Linked DNA regions of Arabidopsis thaliana. The protein of the gene in region 1 interacts with the protein of each later gene in a pairwise test. Each region holds a gene or a part of one and is shown in the gene's direction. Other genes may lie near its edges.

The links.
Region 2: the proteins of PDE337 (region 1) and WRKY34 interact in a two-hybrid assay, tested with the Arabidopsis thaliana proteins (one large-scale study listed by BioGRID).

Annotation. Positions count from the first base shown.
Region 1 is NC_003070.9:25,660,913-25,664,135, reverse strand, and holds PDE337 (VQ motif-containing protein), read left to right. Parts: upstream 1-1,859; 5' UTR 1,860-1,956; coding exon 1,957-2,415; 3' UTR 2,416-2,649; downstream 2,650-3,223.
Region 2 is NC_003075.7:13,357,009-13,361,480, reverse strand, and holds WRKY34 (WRKY DNA-binding protein 34), read left to right. Parts: upstream 1-1,929; 5' UTR 1,930-1,930; coding exon 1,931-2,248; intron 2,249-2,333; coding exon 2,334-3,031; intron 3,032-3,118; coding exon 3,119-3,277; intron 3,278-3,353; coding exon 3,354-3,885; downstream 3,886-4,472. Other genes in the region: CSN6B (COP9 signalosome subunit 6B), read right to left, coding at 4,155-4,236. UniProt on the Arabidopsis thaliana protein: Transcription factor. Interacts specifically with the W box (5'-(T)TGAC[CT]-3'), a frequently occurring elicitor-responsive cis-acting element.

The DNA of each region.
Region 1 (3,223 bases):
TATTAATTTATTTGAGTTTTTCTTTCCCGACGCATAATAATTTGGTTCCATTAAATATGACAGTGCCTAAACAATAACAATAGGCAGAGTTAGATCCAAATGTTAGCTACATGATGCAATAGTACGCGTGCGGTGGTGTGTTTACGCGTGATCCTATAATCTCGAGGTCTCAGCTTTTCCAATTTAAAATTCTATATAAGTTTTGGCTTGTGACTTGTTGCTCGGGCTTTCATCCGTACAAATGTGTTTACTTCATCTTACCTGATGATATTTGGGCTCATTTTTGGGCTTACCAGGATTACTGATAGCATCTGGACCAGATTTTTTCTTTCTTTCTTAATTTCTAGTTAGAACCCATAAGGAAATATTTGTGTGTTACAAGCTAACATGTGGTGTTGCACAAGATTTTGTTGGTGCATATTGTGCATCAAATGGAGATTCTAGTTAAAACTCACTAGAAAAATTGAATGAAAACTGCTAAAAAAAACGAAAAAAAAAAAAAAATTACAATCTAAGCTAAGGAAAAAGGACTACAAGAGTGGTTTTGGGGTTGGATTAAGTTTTTTATTTGTTTTCGATTCTCTGGGTATGGTAAGCCCTTTGAATAAGATGATAAGTGTGAGTTATATCATGCTGGTGAAAGTATATTATAATCTATGTATGTACCAACTAGTAGTTGCTAATAGGTCTTTAACGGATCGATGAGGACAAAGAGGCTGACTTTGTAAGTCTTGTGACTCTTGTTATTTCACAAAACTATTTTGGTTTAACAACATTGATACAAAACAAAAACAAAAAAACTATTTTGGTTTAGTAATGGAAAGTTTAATATGTACAAAAAGGCTTTTGACTTTTGATAAACAATAAGTGTTTTACAAGTTGTGTTCGATTTCTCATCGGACATGGAGTATTATAGTTAATTAAGCGGACAAAAAAACAAATATATTTTGTATACTTGTAGTTAGGAAACTGTGTTAAATAGCCCGAGCTACTTGTTAGTTGTTGCAATCATTGAACGTATCGATGATTGTTAGCCGAAACTCGTACATCTTTTTTTCTCGAAGAAAAGAAGTTTCATACATTTTTTCATTACAGAACATTTATCTTCTTTTCAAGCAAAAATTCAGAGTAGGAGGATATTGATATTCACATACAAGAAGCTCAATTAGCCGATTCTGTCTAAAAATAGGTACGTAAGATTTTAAATTGCCCAATTGCAAAAGAAATATCGTCTGTTGTTTATTTATTTCAACAGGGTGAATTAATGTATATATACAAGAAAACAATGTCCATGATATAATTTATAATACCCAGCAATTTGGGGATAACAAATAGATTAATGGTTTCAGCTGCCTGTAAGTAGGTTTAATTATTTATTTTATACTTTTAAAAGCCGATAGTTTTGAACATTTTCATAAATTTCTTATTACGTAAAAGGAGAGAAGTAAATCCATTTCAACCATCTGCAGCCAACCTTGCATGGTCACAGCCAGTAATATTCAAAGATGACCAAATATGAAGACATCTCCACCAAAATAATATTGCAATTTATTTCTGAAATAACTAAAATCGCTTGAACTATATTTTAAATTTTTGAAGAAGTGGAAAAGTTGCAAAGGGGAATGCTTGCAATTTCATATAAAAAAAGAGCAATTCAAGATTTTCGGCCCTTGAGTTTTTGATGTGTTAGAAATTAATAATCAACAGGATATACCTGAGGCATGTTATAATACTATTCAACGACAACGGCCGTTTTACTATAAAACTGTAATCGTAAATAAATAAAGTCAACGGTCAGAATCGTTGGCTGCAATAAAATACGATTTATTTAGTTTTAACCATACTTACACGCAAATGTAATTCTACATATATACGTATTATATCAACAAGAACTCTGTTTATTTTCAAAGCTTTCTTGATCTTTCATTCTCCATTCTCTTGATATATTCACCTACCATGATTCCAACAAGATGCAATGAGATCAACGGCTCACGTCCTTCGTCGCTAAAACTCGCCGGAGAATCCCACACCATCAAGAAAACGTCGTCTTGCAAGTCGAAGCCACGACCACATGGACGGGCATCTCCGGTTATCATCTACGCGCATTCTCCAAAAGTGATCCACACGCGTGCCGAAGACTTCATGGCCCTGGTTCAAAGGCTGACGGGTCTAGACGAGATTATTAGACGGAACACTAGTGAATCTTCCTCTTCTGTTGTGACGGAAGAGGTTAACGTCGGGGATGATAACACGGCGGCTCCGTTTAGTCAGGATAGAACACAACGACAGAAGTTAACTGATATGCCGTTGTTCACACCGAGCTCGATGACCTTGTTTGGTTCTCCAACTCAACTTATGTATATGTCACCGAACCGGACCGATTCATTTCGACCCTTGGTTTTTAAGTCCGAATAAGACTTCTTAGCAAAAAAAAAAAAAAGTTCCAATAAGACTTCCCATAAAATATGCTTTTATGATTTCTATTTTATATGTATACAATTGGTTTGTTCATTCGTTCGTTCATAAGTTGTTTCACTGTGATTAGTTGGTGTAAATGTCACTTAACTTTACAAACTAAAAACAATGTCACTTAATATCTGTATTTGGTTGTTTTAAACATGAAAGTTAAGGGTTTACCTGTTCTTTTTACATAAATTATTCCATAAATCTCAGCGACAACGTGTGGGCTTCAACAAAATATTTGAAGACCAGAAATGCATTATTGGGCTTCGCATTAAAATGAGCTTCAAGCTCATCTTAGAAAGTTTTTCTAATGACGGTCTATGTGCCATCTTAACAATTCTTTGAGGAAGTTTTATAACTAGAAAAAATGTAAAACTGAAGGTGGAGATGAGTATTAGTTATTTTTATTGATTTCTAGTAGCCTCCCCAAAGTAAAACAGTAGTAGAAATTTTGGAAACATTAAAACCAAGTAGAAAAAACTGGAAACTAATGGCATACAATTAAATAAATTGTGTTTTATTTTGTTAAGTGTAGCATGTTCACCTCAACAAATTGATAGTTCATCTGAAACTGAGACCATCAGGAGAGGCTAAAAAAAGAGTCCTTTTCTTGATATAATTTTGTTATAGACCTTTAGGGCCCTCTTCCTGAGCCCAAATAACTTATTAAAACATATTTATCTCTATATTTGTCATATATAGATCCTAGGCCCGTTATCAACATGCCATGTTGACAAAAAAAAAAAAAAAAAATCATTCA
Region 2 (4,472 bases), on another chromosome or scaffold:
GTCAGCCATTGATACGCAAATAAAAATGCGATGCAAATTCTATATACAATGTAAATTATTTGTGCAATAACAATCAGTCATGTCTAATAATAATATTATCATAAACGATCAAATATTTATGACGAACAAATGAAAAATAAAAATTTGTAAATCATCGTTTTGTCATGATCATATCTACATGCTACATGCATCAATTTTAGATGAGAATTTAATGGGATTGAAGCCTAAACTATTTTGTTTGGTTTCCAAAGACATATATTTTTTATAATCACTTATCGTTAGTTTATTAATTCTTTTATAAAAGAAAAATTATTTTCATATTTATGTTTATTTTCATATTCATATTTATTGTTTATATTTAGACATTATGAGAATATATAAAATTATTTAGTACATTTTGAAAGAAAGTGACCACAAGAATAAGTAAATTAAAAAGTTGGTGAACCCCATTCCATTTGAACTTTCAGTTTATTGTATAGTATATTTTAACTCCACGACTTGTTGACCGAAACATAAACTAAAAATCTACGACATGAACGGAAAGAATAAAATGTGGATACAATTCTACAATTTAGTCTTTCACAAAAAATCAGAAATATTGCAAACATTAACGAAAATTCATAAACAAGATAGGTAACCCAACTGGCTTGAGTTTCTTCTATATATAAACAAAAACAAATAAGCTATACTGCTAGTTCGTTTAACAAACTAGCGAAACCAAGTTTATCTGCCAAAATGATAGAAATTGGTTTTTTCTGTGGTTGGAATATTATTGAAAAAAGTATTTCTATTAATTGATTATTGTAACTTAATCACTTATATACTAAATATAGTTTGCAAATTAGATTTTTTGCTCATGTTTTTCTAACAACTAGCTTTAATTAGTACTAATTACATTAGCTATAGTAAAACCACTATAGACTATGCTGGTTGTGATATAATAGGTATATATGGTAGAACATCAATTTGCCAGTTTAATATTCAGCTCCTGTTGTGAATAGTTGGAGGAAGGCTCATGCATGGTATTATTGATGGACATGCACTGATTAGACTATATGAAAGATATAGCTTACCATATACATAAGAAGACTAAACACAAATAAATGGTATTTCATATCTTATAGGTGTCTGTTTAGAGAAAAGAAAGTATAATGTATATTTCTAAGGGTTTTGTGTAAAAATATCTTCAAAATCATCTATTTTTGTAACTTCAACATTTACGTCATTGGGCACAGCACTGTCTACTTTTACCAAAAAAATAAAAATAAAAAATAATTTGAAAACGTTTATAAAGTTGAAGGTTGTTTTGCACAAAACTCTATTTCTAAAAATAGTTAAACTGTTGGTGATTTTTGTGGAACTGATTAATTAACACAATTGGAGAAAACAAATTGAAACTTTTTTGTTTGTTAGAGAGTTAAGGAGAAATTTTATCTAACCAAGCTGTGTAAATCTCTTGTAGTTTTTCTGCCGATATACATTTTCATTGTGTTGAGGGTAAACGATAATCAAGAACGAGAGAGAGAGAGAGCAAGAGCAAGAGATTTCTACTACAGAAGATTTATTATATTGATCATTTTGTGTGATCAACCCATAAAAACAGAGAGACATAGACAAGTCCATGTTTCGATGTTTCGATCTCTCTTACTGTCTAAACGGCGAAATAAAAAGTCTGATGGGTGTCACTTATTGCATGTATATTAGTAAATCAGGTATTAAGCACTCTTTTATCTTCATTGTTATAAGGTATTAATCACTCTTGTATCTCCATCAAAAGACTTATTGCATATAAAAAAAACTGCTCTGTTTCCATTTTAATTACAATAATTTTTTAAGATTTTAGTTCCATGTTAACTGCTCTGTGTCATATATGTAACACCTAATCACGTTTCAGCTTGAGCCCAAGTTAAAGCTGAAACTTGGGTTTGCAATGGCTGGTATTGATAATAAAGCTGCTGTAATGGGAGAATGGTTCGACTGTAGTACTACTAACCACAGGAAGAGATCGAAAGCGGAACTTGGTAGAGAGTTTTCTTTAAATTACATCAAGAATGAGGATTCTTTGCAAACCACCTTTCAAGAAAGTTCACGAGGAGCTCTTCGTGAAAGGATTGCTGCGAGATCCGGGTTTAATGCACCGTGGTTAAACACTGAGGATATTCTTCAGTCGAAATCTTTAACCATCTCTTCTCCTGGTCTTAGTCCTGCAACTCTGTTAGAGTCTCCTGTTTTCCTCTCAAACCCTTTGGTAACTTTTTCTTTTCAACATTTCATTATGGTCTCTCTCTTTCGTGAATCAGTGCTCTAAAATCTCTTATCATTTGTAAGCTCAGCTATCTCCAACAACCGGGAAGCTCTCATCAGTACCTTCTGATAAGGCTAAAGCTGAGTTATTTGACGACATTACCACATCCTTAGCCTTCCAAACCATTTCAGGAAGTGGCCTTGATCCTACTAACATCGCTTTAGAACCCGATGATTCCCAAGACTATGAAGAAAGACAGCTCGGCGGTTTAGGAGACTCGATGGCTTGTTGTGCACCTGCAGATGATGGATACAACTGGAGAAAATATGGACAAAAGCTAGTTAAAGGAAGTGAGTATCCGCGGAGCTATTACAAGTGCACGCACCCGAATTGTGAGGCCAAGAAGAAGGTTGAACGGTCTCGGGAAGGTCATATTATAGAGATCATATACACAGGAGATCATATACACAGCAAACCTCCACCTAACCGCCGGTCAGGGATTGGATCATCCGGTACTGGCCAAGACATGCAAATAGATGCAACCGAATACGAAGGTTTTGCTGGAACCAATGAGAACATAGAATGGACATCACCTGTATCTGCAGAGCTCGAATACGGAAGCCATTCAGGATCAATGCAGGTTCAAAACGGGACTCATCAGTTCGGGTATGGTGATGCAGCAGCTGATGCCTTATATAGAGATGAAAACGAAGATGATCGCACGTCCCACATGAGTGTTTCCCTGACTTACGATGGAGAGGTAGAAGAGTCCGAATCAAAGAGAAGGTATAAAAAGTTGCTCTAGTAACCATTATAATACTTAGAAAGACAAGACGTTCTGACTTCTGAGCTCTGATGGCATTCCCGTATCAGGAAACTAGAAGCTTATGCAACAGAAACGAGTGGATCAACCAGAGCCAGCCGTGAGCCAAGAGTTGTGGTGCAGACCACAAGTGACATTGACATCCTCGATGATGGTTATCGCTGGCGCAAGTATGGGCAAAAAGTCGTTAAAGGAAACCCGAATCCAAGGTTCTTGTATCCAAATGCTCTGTTCTGCTGCTATCCCTTTGTTGAATTTAATAAAATCAGTTTTCTATGTTTTCAGGAGCTACTATAAATGCACAGCTAATGGATGTACCGTAACGAAGCATGTAGAGAGAGCCTCTGATGACTTCAAGAGCGTACTAACAACTTATATAGGCAAGCACACCCACGTTGTACCAGCAGCACGCAACAGCAGCCACGTCGGTGCAGGCAGTTCAGGGACTCTCCAAGGCAGTTTAGCGACTCAGACCCACAACCACAATGTGCACTATCCAATGCCACACAGTAGATCTGAGGGACTGGCCACAGCCAACTCATCTCTATTTGACTTCCAGTCACACCTGAGGCATCCTACAGGTTTCTCCGTTTACATAGGCCAATCTGAGCTTTCTGATCTTTCAATGCCTGGTCTAACTATTGGGCAAGAGAAGCTTACCAGCCTGCAGGCGCCTGACATTGGGGATCCAACTGGCCTAATGTTGCAGTTAGCAGCACAGCCGAAGGTGGAACCAGTGTCACCACAACAGGGACTTGATTTGTCAGCGAGCTCATTGATATGCAGAGAGATGTTGAGTAGATTACGACAGATATGAAACAAATCTCTTTGTTCACTGATTGCTCAAATTTTTGAATAAATGAAAAATTGAGAGAAGGTAAAAGCTGTTTTGTTTTTACAGTCTTGTCGCAAAATTTAGTTAGGCCTAAACTTAGCTTCTGTCTAGACAAAGCTTAAACAGAAGAAAAGCTTCCTAGCTGTTTGTTTGGTTCCGAAAAGTGAAATGCCTTAAAAGAGTTCTAAATTTTCACTTAGGGACCAGACCACCAAAAGAAAGAAAAGGTTTTTTTACATTGAAACTAATCTTTACATGAACGCAGTCCTACCACCTCTTCGGCTGTGTTTGTCGTATGCAGTGTTGAATTTGTCAACCACCTCGTTCATGTTGCTGCATTTTGGGGGGAAAAAGGAGAGTAAGAGATCAAATATACAAAGGATTCTTTCAGGACATTTCGTTGGAATGAAATTGACATATGGATTGGTCAAGGTGTAGCACAAGATTAGATTTTTTTTTTAAAAAGAAGCTTATATTCCCTTAGCTACTACAGGCTCAGTATCTTAATTATAACAAGGATAATTGAGCAAGGTCCTAGATTTAGTTCTTAATCTAAATAAAACAAACTA